Linked DNA regions of Rattus norvegicus. The protein of the gene in region 3 purifies or fractionates together with the protein of the main gene of each other region. This does not show direct contact. Links are inferred from orthologs where the notes say so. Each region holds a gene or a part of one and is shown on either strand. Other genes may lie near its edges.

What was found. Proteins that work in one complex are often made in the same cells at the same time.
Region 1: the proteins of Klhl22 (region 3) and Nipsnap2 purify together in Homo sapiens (co-immunoprecipitation; 3 studies listed by BioGRID and IntAct, counting the BioPlex papers as one, with this or other methods). This does not show direct contact. The link is inferred for Rattus norvegicus from reciprocal best matches to the Homo sapiens genes KLHL22 and NIPSNAP2.
Region 2: the proteins of Klhl22 (region 3) and Emc7 purify together in Homo sapiens (co-immunoprecipitation; 3 studies listed by BioGRID and IntAct, counting the BioPlex papers as one, with this or other methods). This does not show direct contact. The link is inferred for Rattus norvegicus from reciprocal best matches to the Homo sapiens genes KLHL22 and EMC7.

The regions. Positions count from the first base shown.
Region 1 is NC_086030.1:32,577,949-32,581,696, reverse strand, and holds the start of Nipsnap2 (protein NipSnap homolog 2), read left to right. Parts: upstream 1-1,393; 5' UTR 1,394-1,433; coding exon 1,434-1,510; intron 1,511-3,748. UniProt on the Homo sapiens protein: Protein involved in mitophagy by facilitating recruitment of the autophagy machinery required for clearance of damaged mitochondria.
Region 2 is NC_086021.1:119,717,478-119,721,216, reverse strand, and holds the start of Emc7 (ER membrane protein complex subunit 7 precursor), read right to left. Parts: upstream 2,806-3,739; 5' UTR 2,771-2,805; coding exon 2,538-2,770; intron 1-2,537. UniProt on the Homo sapiens protein: Part of the endoplasmic reticulum membrane protein complex (EMC) that enables the energy-independent insertion into endoplasmic reticulum membranes of newly synthesized membrane proteins.
Region 3 is NC_086029.1:96,733,410-96,737,157, forward strand, and holds the start of Klhl22 (kelch-like protein 22), read right to left. Parts: upstream 2,607-3,748; 5' UTR 2,576-2,606; intron 2,471-2,575; exon of another isoform or gene 2,237-2,470; coding exon of another isoform or gene 2,015-2,236; intron 1-2,014. UniProt on the Homo sapiens protein: Substrate-specific adapter of a BCR (BTB-CUL3-RBX1) E3 ubiquitin ligase complex required for chromosome alignment and localization of PLK1 at kinetochores.

The DNA of each region.
Region 1 (3,748 bases), on a different chromosome or scaffold from region 3:
AGATTGAAGATACACAGCTCATTGGTAGAGCACATGCCTAGCATATACCAGGCCCTAAGTACATTGGGAAAGGAGGAGAGCACAGGACTAAAGAACTGATGAAAATCCAGAGCAAAATGGCAATGGGGGTGAGGTGGGGATGCAGAAAAAAGGGAGGTCTAATGCTAAATAGCACAAAAGCAGAGTCATCAAAGAAATGCGTAAATGCAAGAGAGTTGAAACTCTTAACATACAAAGTTGAGTCAAGTGCAGTAATGTATACCTATGACCCCAGCACTGAAGTGGTGGGGGCAGGAGAACTGAGAGTTTGAGGCTATCCTGGATGAATAATGATCCTGTTAATAAACGAACTGAGTATGACGGCTCATGCAAGTAACCTCAAGATCCAGGAGGGTAAAACTAGAGGACCCAAGAACAGGACCCAAGAGTGTTTGTACACTTTGCCCTTGTGTTTGTACACTTAACTCTTGAGATTCTTCTAAACCCTCGGAGTATAACTTGTCCGATGCTCTGAATAAAGGCTATTGCTTGAGACTTTAGTCCACCTCACTTTTAGGCTCCATTCTCCCAGGTTCCATTCCCCCTCAGGAGTGGTTAACCATCGCTGTGAGGCTGGATTGGGCTCCACATAAAGACCCTGTCTCAGCTAACTTGGGAAGTTCACGGCAGTTCACAACTGTCTGCAACTCCAGTTCCAGGGGTCCCACACCCTCACACAGACATAGGTGCAGGCAAAACACTAGTGATGCGCATAGACTAGGAAGAGAAATTTTAAAAAGATAAAGAAAACCATACCTCTTGAACTTCAAGATTACAGGTGGTAGAGAATCACCTCCCATCCCACTTCTTACCAGAAACTCACAGGCAGCCACCAATCTGTCTCTTGACCTTTGCTACTTGCTCCCCATTTCTCTGCTTCCTCGGGATCTAGCTCTGTTTCTGCCTACTCTTGTCTTGCTGAAGTTTCATGCTTGTATCCGTAGTTCTTTTATTATCCTCACAGAGTACATTTTCCCCTAGACCAGAGGTTCTCGGCTTTCCTGGTGCTGCTACACTTTAACACGTTCGTCATTTTGTGGGGACCTTCAACCATAAAATCAGGCTCTGGATTCTCCCATGCACAGTTCTATTCCTTTCTCGTGGATCTCCCCGTGGACAATCCAGCGCCAACCAGGTTCCTTTCTCACACCCATCTTGGGACACTGAGCTCCCCTCGCAGATCTAAGCTTATCTTCAACAACTACTTGGCGCGCCCCCTGGCGGCAGCCCCGAGGCTGCACGCTGCTCCCCCTAGCGGCCGCGCCCCTGCACTACAGCGGCCTAGCGCCCTGCCCCGCCCCGCCCCAGCCTGGTCGGCCCGGCCGGGGGAGGGGTCGCGGCAGCGGCGGCGTCAGCGACACCGAGGCGGTAGGAGCTTCAGGCTCCGGAGCAAGATGGCGGCGCGGGTGCTGCTCGCGCGAGGAGGCCTGCTGCGGCCAGCCGCCCCCGGCAGCTTCCTGCCCGGGCTCCGGTGAGCAGCGCCGCCCTTTCCGGGGCCCGGCCGGGGAGGGGCCGCCGTGGGGCGAAGGGCGCGGGGTCCCCGGGGCGGGGAGGGGACGCCGGGGGCCGGCCTCCGAGTCCCAGGCGACGGAGGGTTGGCGTGGCTGCAGCGCCTTCCCCGGGCCCCTTGGGGCTCAAGGTCACGGTCCTGCCGGCGCCGCCCTTGCCGGGGACGCCCGGGATCGCGGGCCATGTCCGCCCGCAGCCTCCGCGCGCTGCGCCCCCCGCAGTAGCGATGCCTCGCCCCAGGTCGCGAAAGAATGGCGGGTTCCCCCCAGGGAAGCTGCACCCCGAGGTCCCCACTCGGGACAGCCCTTAAATTTGAAAGCGGAGTGGATTAAAAAAAAAAAAAAAGTAACCGACGGTGGCGGAGTTCGCAGTTGAAACTTTTTCTTCTCCTAACCTCGGTGGAGTCTGTTCGGTTGTGTCCACCTGTCACCTTGACATCCCCACGTTTATTAAGTAACGAAAGGCCATCCGAATTTCCAGATTTGTTTTCCCTTCTTGCCTTCCTTTGTATTGTTTTTCATCTCTAAACTGTTTTCAGGATTTATATATATTTTTTTATGTATATAAGTGTTTGCCTACCTGGACGTCTATTACATATGTGCCTGGGGCAGCCAGAAGGTTTTGGATCCCCACTACCGGAGTTACAGCCTGTTGGGAGCCGCCATGTCGGGGTTGGGAATGGAATCCTCTGCTAGAGCAGCAAGTGTTCTTAACCCCTGAGCCATCTCTCCAGCCCCTATTTATTTATTTGTTTATTTGTTTATTTATTTGTTTGTTTATTTATTTATTTATTTATTTATTTATTTATTTATTTATTTATTTATTTGAGACAAGGTCTTGCTACATATATCCAGGCTGGCCTCGAACTTTCTGCAAACCTTCTGCTTCAGACTCGGAAGTACTGTAGTTTCAGGTGTGCACTACCGAGGCCAGCCTTGGCTAACTGAAATGTTGCCTTTGTTTTTTGTTTTTTGGGTTTTTTTTTTATATCTCTGCGTGCATGCACACGTGTGTTTGTAATTGATTTTTCTCCCACCAAGTGGGTCTGGGAAATTGTAGTTCATCAAACTTAGAAGCCAGTTTCTTTACCCCTTAAGCCATCTCAACAGCCCCGGAACTTTTCTTAAGATTTGTTTGTATGAGTGTTTTTACCTGCATATATGTATGTGTACCATATGCATGCCTGGGGGCCTACAAGGATCGGAAGAAAGTATCTGGTCCTCTGGAACTACTGTTACAGAAATAGTTGTGAGCTACCACATGGGTTCTGGTACTGGAACTCTGGTCCTCTTGGAAAGGAGCAAGTGGTCTTAACCACTGAGCCATCTCTCCAGTACAATGGGGGCACCATATAATATGACTCGTCTAATTTAGTGGCAATCTTAAATAGTGAGGTATGCATCTCACGCAGACATAGAGACAAGAGACACATCTCTGGGGGAAAAGTGTGTGTGGTCGCTTTTGTTTCAGGACCCATGCAACTTGTAGATGCAAATTATTTAAATCACCTGTAATATGGTTTCCAAATGAAGTGAACAGACAACTTCCCTATCTGTTGTTACTTAGCAAGCACTCTGAGCCCCTAAAGTTTGCATTTTGTTCCTTGGGAAACAGGCAGCTGAAACTCAAGGTGCTCGCTCAAGACCTGATGCTCAAAGTGGTAAAGCTGGTAAACTAGATTTGGACCTGCCAGGTACCCATACTTGGAGCCAAATGCTCTCTACCCTGTGAGTGCTTGAAGACACTCTCACCCTCCTCTCTCCCTTTCTGCCAATCCTCTCTGGGAGCTGTTCAAAGAGGAGGAAGAAAAGGGGGTCCAGAGTAGTTTAGAACCTTGTAAAGTCTGAGGTGTAGGCTGTTCAAATAGAAAATCCAAATATCTGGGCTATAGGCAACTGATGGTAATTAGCATATAAGAATGTTGATAGATACCTGGATTTCATTATTCTGTGTTTTCACTGAGTTTTTTTGGTGGTGATGGTTTATTGTTATTCTGTGGGTTTTTGGTTGGTTTGGTTTTTTGTTTTGGTTTTTTGGTTTTGGTTTTGGTTTTTTTTGGGAGGGTTAGGGTTTTTTTTTTTTTTTTTTTTTTTTTGTCTTTTCGGGGGATGGGGATTTGAGACACAGTAACCCTAGTTGTGCTAGAACTCGATCTATATATCAGGCTGTCAAGCCTGCCTCTGCTTCCCTAGTGCTGGGA
Region 2 (3,739 bases), on a different chromosome or scaffold from region 3:
CTTTCATGTATTATTGGATAAATACTGTTGAGGCTGTAAGCTCCAGGGTACTGCACAATCTGTTTCTTCATACTAGGAAGAATACGCTGTTTTAACCTTTGATTAAACTCTATGTTTACTATTCTAATGTTAGTGCATATTCTGCTCTTTTGTTTTTGGAGACAAAAATTTTGCTATATAACTCAGGATGGCCTCAGACTCATGATGCTATCACCTCACCCTCGAAAGAGCTGGGACATAAATGTGGACATTACATCCAGTCATCTTCTGCTTCTTGATAGACCCTGACAGAAACAACTTCAAACGTTTTTTTCGAGCAGAGGGGGAAAAAAAGAAAGAAAGAAACTGATGACTATTCAACAAATAGAATCAGAATTACTGAAAGAAAAAGCAAAGTTGGGCATGATAGGAGACATCTGTGAACACAGTGAGGAAGTGAACACAGGAGGACAAGAGTTTGAGGATGATAAGAATCACACAGTAAAACTATACATAAAAAAAAAGTCAAGGACTAAAGAGATGGCTCCACAGTTAACAGCACTGATTGCTCAACAGGTCCTGATTTCAATTCCTAGCAACCACATGGTGGCTCACAACCATCTGTAATGGTATCTGATGCCCTCTTCTGGTGTGTCTGAAGACAGCTACAGTACACTCATATACATAAAATAAATAATTCTAAAAAAAACTTCACAAGTAGTACATAAACTTATAATATAAAAACAAACCAAAACCAAAGCCAAGCCAAAACAACAACAATAAAACCTGGCAACTACCTAACTGTCAGAAGACTGGAAAAGTAAATTGTGGTTTATCGTCATGTTATGATATAAAAAATGGCTTGACCATTTTAACCCATCTCCTCTCATCTCCATTTTTAAAGTCCAAGCTACTTCCCCAGAAACCAAAAGTACAGTCAAACTTGTGTGCTGTTATTCAAAACAGCTATAAGACTTATCCTACTTCCAACAAGACTATCACCATAAAAGTCATATCAATTCTCAACCAGCCCTTCTATATGAATAAGAGAATGTGAAGTAATAAAAATTGTTCATAAATATTAAATGAAAATTATGGTCTTATATGCTTTATTCTTAAAGACAAGTAATATGATTCTAAAAAGAGAAAAAAATTACTATAATACAATGGTTATTTTCTTTCTGTTGCATCTTTTTAAAAGAAAATATCTTGTTTATGTTTTCTTCAGTAAATATTTATTTATTTGTACTTGGGAGTCACTTCAGGACCTCTTGCATACAAGTGCCACCACAAAACTGTATCGCCAGCATTTGCTTCTTTGAGACAGGGTCTCAACTAAGTTGTTCAGAGTGTCCTTTAGCTTACAGTCTTCTGCTTCTGACTCCTCAGTAGCCAAGTTGTTAGGCCTGTGTCACTGTGCAAGGCTAAGCATAGCTAGCAATATAGAATATATTAAATTGTAAAATATCTTCAAAACAAAAATAGGTGTTTTTCAAACTGCTATATACTGCAGAAGTTGAATTTCAATGAAGCCTTATCTTCCCAATCTCAGTGGGAATTTATTATTAATGAAGCATTAGTTAGGATAAAATTTAAACAATACCCTAGTGTTAGAAAACATTAAACTACTGATTGTCAATTTGTCATTTTAATCTGAGGTTGAATATACCACAAGGGAACTTCAACAACCTGCAGAAATATGCAATTTAAACTTAAATGTCCACATTTAAGGTATGTGGTTTTCAGATATCATAAGTTGGTCTATAAAGCCTGCAAAGAAATATTTTCTTTCAGTTCATAGTTTCAACTCCAAATACTGGTGGCAAAATTTAAAACATCATATTCATGCCTAGAAGAGAGAAAACGGACTGCTGACATAGCGTCAAGAAATTCATCCCACCTTCCAATATAAAACACAAACTTAAAAACAAGAAAAGTACAATTATGTGTAAGGAATCTTAAGCAATCCTGGTCTGACTTAAATGACGAGTGAAATATCGCAAATCCCTCGACGAATTCAATCGTAAAAAGAACAATAATCACAATCTCGGGCCCAAAAAAAGCGCTCTTTGATTAGGGACTTCAGGGCCCATTAATTTTAGAAGCAGGACCATTAGCCTTACAGTCTATGTCGTCACTGGGAGCCCTTTGGGCTTTGACAATTCCCACTTGTTTAGCATCTTTCTACACAACACCAAGCTACCAGAAGAGTGACAGGTAGAAAGCAACCAGGTTCCAGAGACATTAGACAAAGTGCAAGGGGGCGGGGGTGGGGGCACTCAGCAGATAAATGGGCCCAAGTATGATCCGCCTCACACTGGGGCTAAAATGGGGCTACAAATAAATGACCCCATATGTTTCGGGCGCCTGGGACCACTGTCCGCCATCCTCGCTGCTGAAGTACCTGACTCCCTCTCAAGGTCTCCCAGCATAGACCGTTAGTGGCCCCGGTGCCTTCAGTTTTTGACAGCTACATTGCGGGTCCTGACAGCTGTCCCAGCTGGATACCCTTCCAGCGTCCGCCCAAATAGCTTTCCTGTTGCCCTCAGGATGCTCACTTAAGGAAGCCGACATGCTCTTCTCCGTCTACCAGCACTCGGGCCGCGGAGATCCAGTCCTGAGGCTTCACCCCTGGAACAACTGCACGTCCCTCGATCTTAAAACGATCTCCCAGGGCGACCCCACTACCTCCCGGGACCTCGGCAGCAGCCCCAGGCACCTCCGAGCTGTGGGCATCTCCTGATAATAATAGAAGCAGGATGAAAAAGAAACCCCACAGAGCACCCGCCATGACAGCAGCTCTGAAGAGTCAGGCCTACGGCCCCGGAAGCCCTACCCTGCCGCAAGGCCGCTCCAGCGGCCACCGCCGTCGCCCGCCGATGTCGTCATCACCACAAGCCGGATCTAGCATCGAGCTTGTCCACGCCCCCGGAGAGAAGTTAGGACAGTTGACTAATCAGGAGATGAGCTGCAGAACCGACGCTCTGAACCACCAGGGCTTAAAAGGTGGCAAGGCTTTTAAGCGAAATGCCAGAACGTCTAAGGTGAAGTAAAGGTGGAAGAGAGTGTATTGCTGTGGCGTCCACAGATGCAGGACTTATCGTGGGCGTAAAGGATAGAGACCGAGAGGGACCAGGATCTGAAGTGTTGAGTGCTGGGTCTGTAGCTAACACCCAGACATCTACTCTATCATTTTCTCAAGGTTCTTGCTAGCTATAACTATTCTCCTTTCTACTACAATCTCTGTAAAAAAAAAAAAAAAAAAAAGGAATGAACGAAGCTCTTGATGTAGAGTGGAAATGCAGAAATGTGGGCTGAAAAGGAGAGTGTGTGTGTGTGTGTGTGTGTGTGTGTGAGAGAGAGAGAGAGAGAGAGAGATCTATGTTTAAGAAGTACGTGAAGAATGTTTATTTTCATTCCTTTTTAATGCTTTGTTTATTTAACATACACAGATTGAAGACTGAGAAAGTAAAGCGCTCACTATAAATGGTCTCTGATGTACCTAATACACAGACAGGGCAAATGACAAGACCAACGGAAAACAGCATCTAGCAACCTTTCAGTTCTTTATTTACCAAGAGTGCCTCAACCCTGCTTTGTTTCTCACTGTTTTCTAGCTGATGGCTAACATTCTTTTCAGAGTTGATGCTTACCTCCCTTAAACACCTCAGTCATTGAGCAGAGGCCTACATACTGTAAAAATTCATCCATCTCTTCTACTAATTCTCTTCTATTTAGTTTCTCTGGTATAGAGTTTTTC
Region 3 (3,748 bases):
CTGGATGCTGGGGCTCTATTGGCTTACCCACACCTTCATTCTACCTGAACCAGATGCCTTCTCACAAGGCCCTAGAGATGGTTAGAGCTTATGTCTTGGCAACTGTTTCTGGGTTAGGATCTCTCCAGCCTGGAACTCTGCTGTAAAGTAATTCCTCCTCTCCTGACTTCTTCCTTTCCTTCAATCCATCCATTCCCCAGGACATGCATTCCCAATGGCATCTCCAGCCAGAATCCCTCCTAATTGGTCTGTTTTTGTCAGTTGCATGCTCCATTTCTACCTGAAACCTCCTAATCTCCATGATCTCTTTTCCTTCTTAAGCTTATGTTTTGTAAGATCCTTTGGTCTTGATTCTACTCCTGTATCTTGCACAGCCATCCCCTTATTTTTTCCAATGGCCACAGTTTGGAGTCAGAGCATAGAAATGTTGTTCCAAAGGATTTCCCTAACTCTCGCCTCATTACCCTGTGCCATCTCCCCACTTAATACTCAAAGGCTTTCTTCCTTCTCCTGCCTGCCACATTACCAGTTCTTAGACCCACAGGAACACCTGCAATCCTCTAACAGAACTATGTTCGTTTCTCATAGTACTATTCTGGCCATGATCTAGTTGATCACATCTACCTAGAGCCTTCATACAATCTCAAAAAACATGCTCTGGTAGGGAACCAGTCTTCTCTACCCTTGACAGTTTGTCTCCCAAGCACCTCAAGGTTAGTTTCTATGGCAATATCTGCTAACCAGACTCTGGCTGCTACCTTCAAACCTCAGCGTCCTGGAAGGCTTCCCCATCTGTGGATGATTAATTGCCTTAACAGACACTGACTAGGGGCTGGGGATTTAGCTCAGTGGTAGAGCGCTTACCTAGGAAGCGCAAGGCCCTGGGTTCGGTCCCCAGCTCCAAAAAAAAAAAAAAAAAAAAAACCAGACACTGACTCCCCCCCCCCCCCCCCGCAATGCACATGTTGGGGTGGTCTCCATTGCTGTCAGCTGAGCAGCCTGCCTGCCCTCTTGGAAATATCATCTACTCTCTAAACAGCCACCACAAAAACAAGTACAGTAAAACAGGATGGCTACTCCTTTGGATAGGCAGAGCACATTTACTAAGCTCAAGAAAAGAAATTCAGTACAACCAAGAGTGCAACAGCATCCAGGATCTCTGGTATAGTAACAGATCTGTAACTCCAGCACTCAGGAATGCTGATACAAAAAGATCACAAAGTTGGAAGCCAGCCTACAATATGTAGACTTGTCATAAATAAATAAGGAACAAGTAGGGTTAGAGAGAAGGCTCAGTGCATTTAACACAAAACTATTTGTTCAGAGAACTGGAGTTTTGTTCCCAGCACTGACATCCGGTCGAGATGCTCTCTGCTGGTCTCCAGAGCCTTCACTCCTTCACCCAGGTGCACATACAGACACTTGTTTTTTCAAGTGTCCTGTGTAACAGCCTTCACTGTCCTGGAGTTCTGTTGATCAGGCTGGCCTCGAACTCACAGAGATCTGCCGTCCTCTGCCTCCGGAGTACAGGGATTAAAGGCAGGTGTCACCACACCTGTCTTCACTCTTTTTAACGACAAAAAATTAAGGAGACTCTAGTGACTACATATCTTCAATATTCCTCTTCACTTTCCATTTGCTTCGGCTTATAACTTCATGCTTCTCACGCGTGTAAACACGCTTTATTTAAGGGCCCCTAGTCAAGATATCTGGGTTTCCTATCCAAACAGCCATACACTGAAACATATTTTAGAGGAATCTTCAACGAACATTTACTAGAAAGGCATCCTTAATCTTCTGTAGGGGCTCCCATTCAGTATCTGTCCTCAACTTATCCGTATCACAACGCAACATGTGCAACAAAAGAAAAACCAGCAGCTTGGAATGAGAAAGAGTGGGTCCTTATTTCCACGGGGGGGGGGGGGGGCGCGGAGAGTCTCCAAGAGGTGCTGACGTGCTCTGTGGCTAGTTCCCTAGAGCACTGACTAGGAGCATTTCGGGGATCAGGCCTTACCCTAGGAAGCTGCCGCGGGTAGAAGGTGGCCCCGTTGCGCCCGGACAGGTCCGTTCGTTCGGCCTGTACAGGATCTAAACTAGTACATCCCGGGGATTTTGCACTGACAGCGCGAGCTCTCCGGCTTCTCTCAACAACCGCAGCAGCGGCTGAAGAGCCTGAGGTCACGCCGGGAGCGGCAGCCAGGCCCGCCCTGCCGCCTGTTGCAATCCCTGCTCCCATAGCTTCGAGGGACCCGGACAGGCCGGAGGCCACACTCGGACCCACGACTGGCTATAGAGAGTGGTCGACTGGGCTGCGAGGGCCACGGTCCGCCTCAGCCACGCGCAGGCCTCCGCCAGCCCGCGCCACGGCGCCAGGCCCGCGCCGGACGCCCTAGGGTCGCCCGGCCGGGCCCCCGCCACGTCAGGCAGTCGCCCGCGCCCTCCCCAGGCGCCCGTGATACTTGGCCCGTATCCCCGCGTCCGCCGCTGTCCCCGCTCCCTCTCCCATCCCCGCGTGCAGCGCAAGCTCGGCGACGAAGGCCTGCCAGGCCCACACGGTTCATGCCTCGCAGCTGACCTGGTGCTGCCGCAAGCTGTGGCCGCTCTCGCAGCAGGCGGGAGGCGGGAGGCTGGAGGTGGGGGCGGAGCCTCACCGTCACGTGTGATGCTGCGCAGGCGCAAGTGGACTACAGGGGGATCGCTGCGGGGCGGGGCGGAGCGAGGCCGAAGAGCGGGACTGGGGCTACACTGTCGTTGGACCGCTGGTCAGGAAACGCCACCCTAGAAGTGCCTTTTGGAGGTGCAAATTTATGCCCTTCTTTCCCTTCCTCCTTGCCTCATTCTTACCCTCACTCATTCTCTCATAGCTTCTTTGCTTGCTTGTCTCTTCACACCTAATCACTTACCCTCTCCCTCATTGCCTCCTTCCTCCCCTCACTCTCCTCTCTCATTCATTTCGTTTCTCCCTGCATTATTTCCTTCTATTCCTCATCGCGTATTCATTACTTCACTCATTGCTTCACTTGTCCCCTCCTTCTCGCTTCTTCCTTGCTCCCTACGTCGCTCCTACCCTCTCGTTCATGCTGTCTTCATTTCCCTCATCCCCTTATTTATTGTCTGAGTTCTTCCCTGTGCCTCTTATTTCTTTCTTCACTGGCCCAGGCATTCGCTTGCTTGTTTCTTCTCTCACTGTACTTTAGACTTTGGAAGGTCGCTCGCCCAGTGCTTTCTCTGGAGAGTGAAAATAAGCAAGGCCTTTATGAACAAGTGTTGATTTTCCTCTTTTCTGAGACTCTAGAGTAAAATCTCAAAACTCAGCTGCCCCTAGCTGTCCTGAGGACACCCACTTTTCTCTGCCTCACCTCCAAGAGGATCACACTCTGAGGGGTGCATACCTATAGCAGAATCCCAGAGGATAGCTGTAGGGCCTTCTTACAAATAGATAGAAGGAAACTGTAGTTTCAATGTGGAGAATGAAAGATAGGGGAAAGATATCACTAAGGAAGCCTCCTCGTGAAAAAGAGGAGAGAAGAAGAAAGTGAATAAAAGAAAGGCTGTTTCAGGTGAACCCTGATTGATGCCTGGAGGCTAGATATGGACCCAGAAGAAAAGATATGGACCCTCTTTCTAGAGAAAGAGGCGCCCAATGTAGGTGGACTTCTACCTATCAGGGCTCCCTGGAGCAAATGACAACACAGCTGGGGACTTTCAGACCATGATAAAAGTATTCTAGCAAGGGATGGTATACATA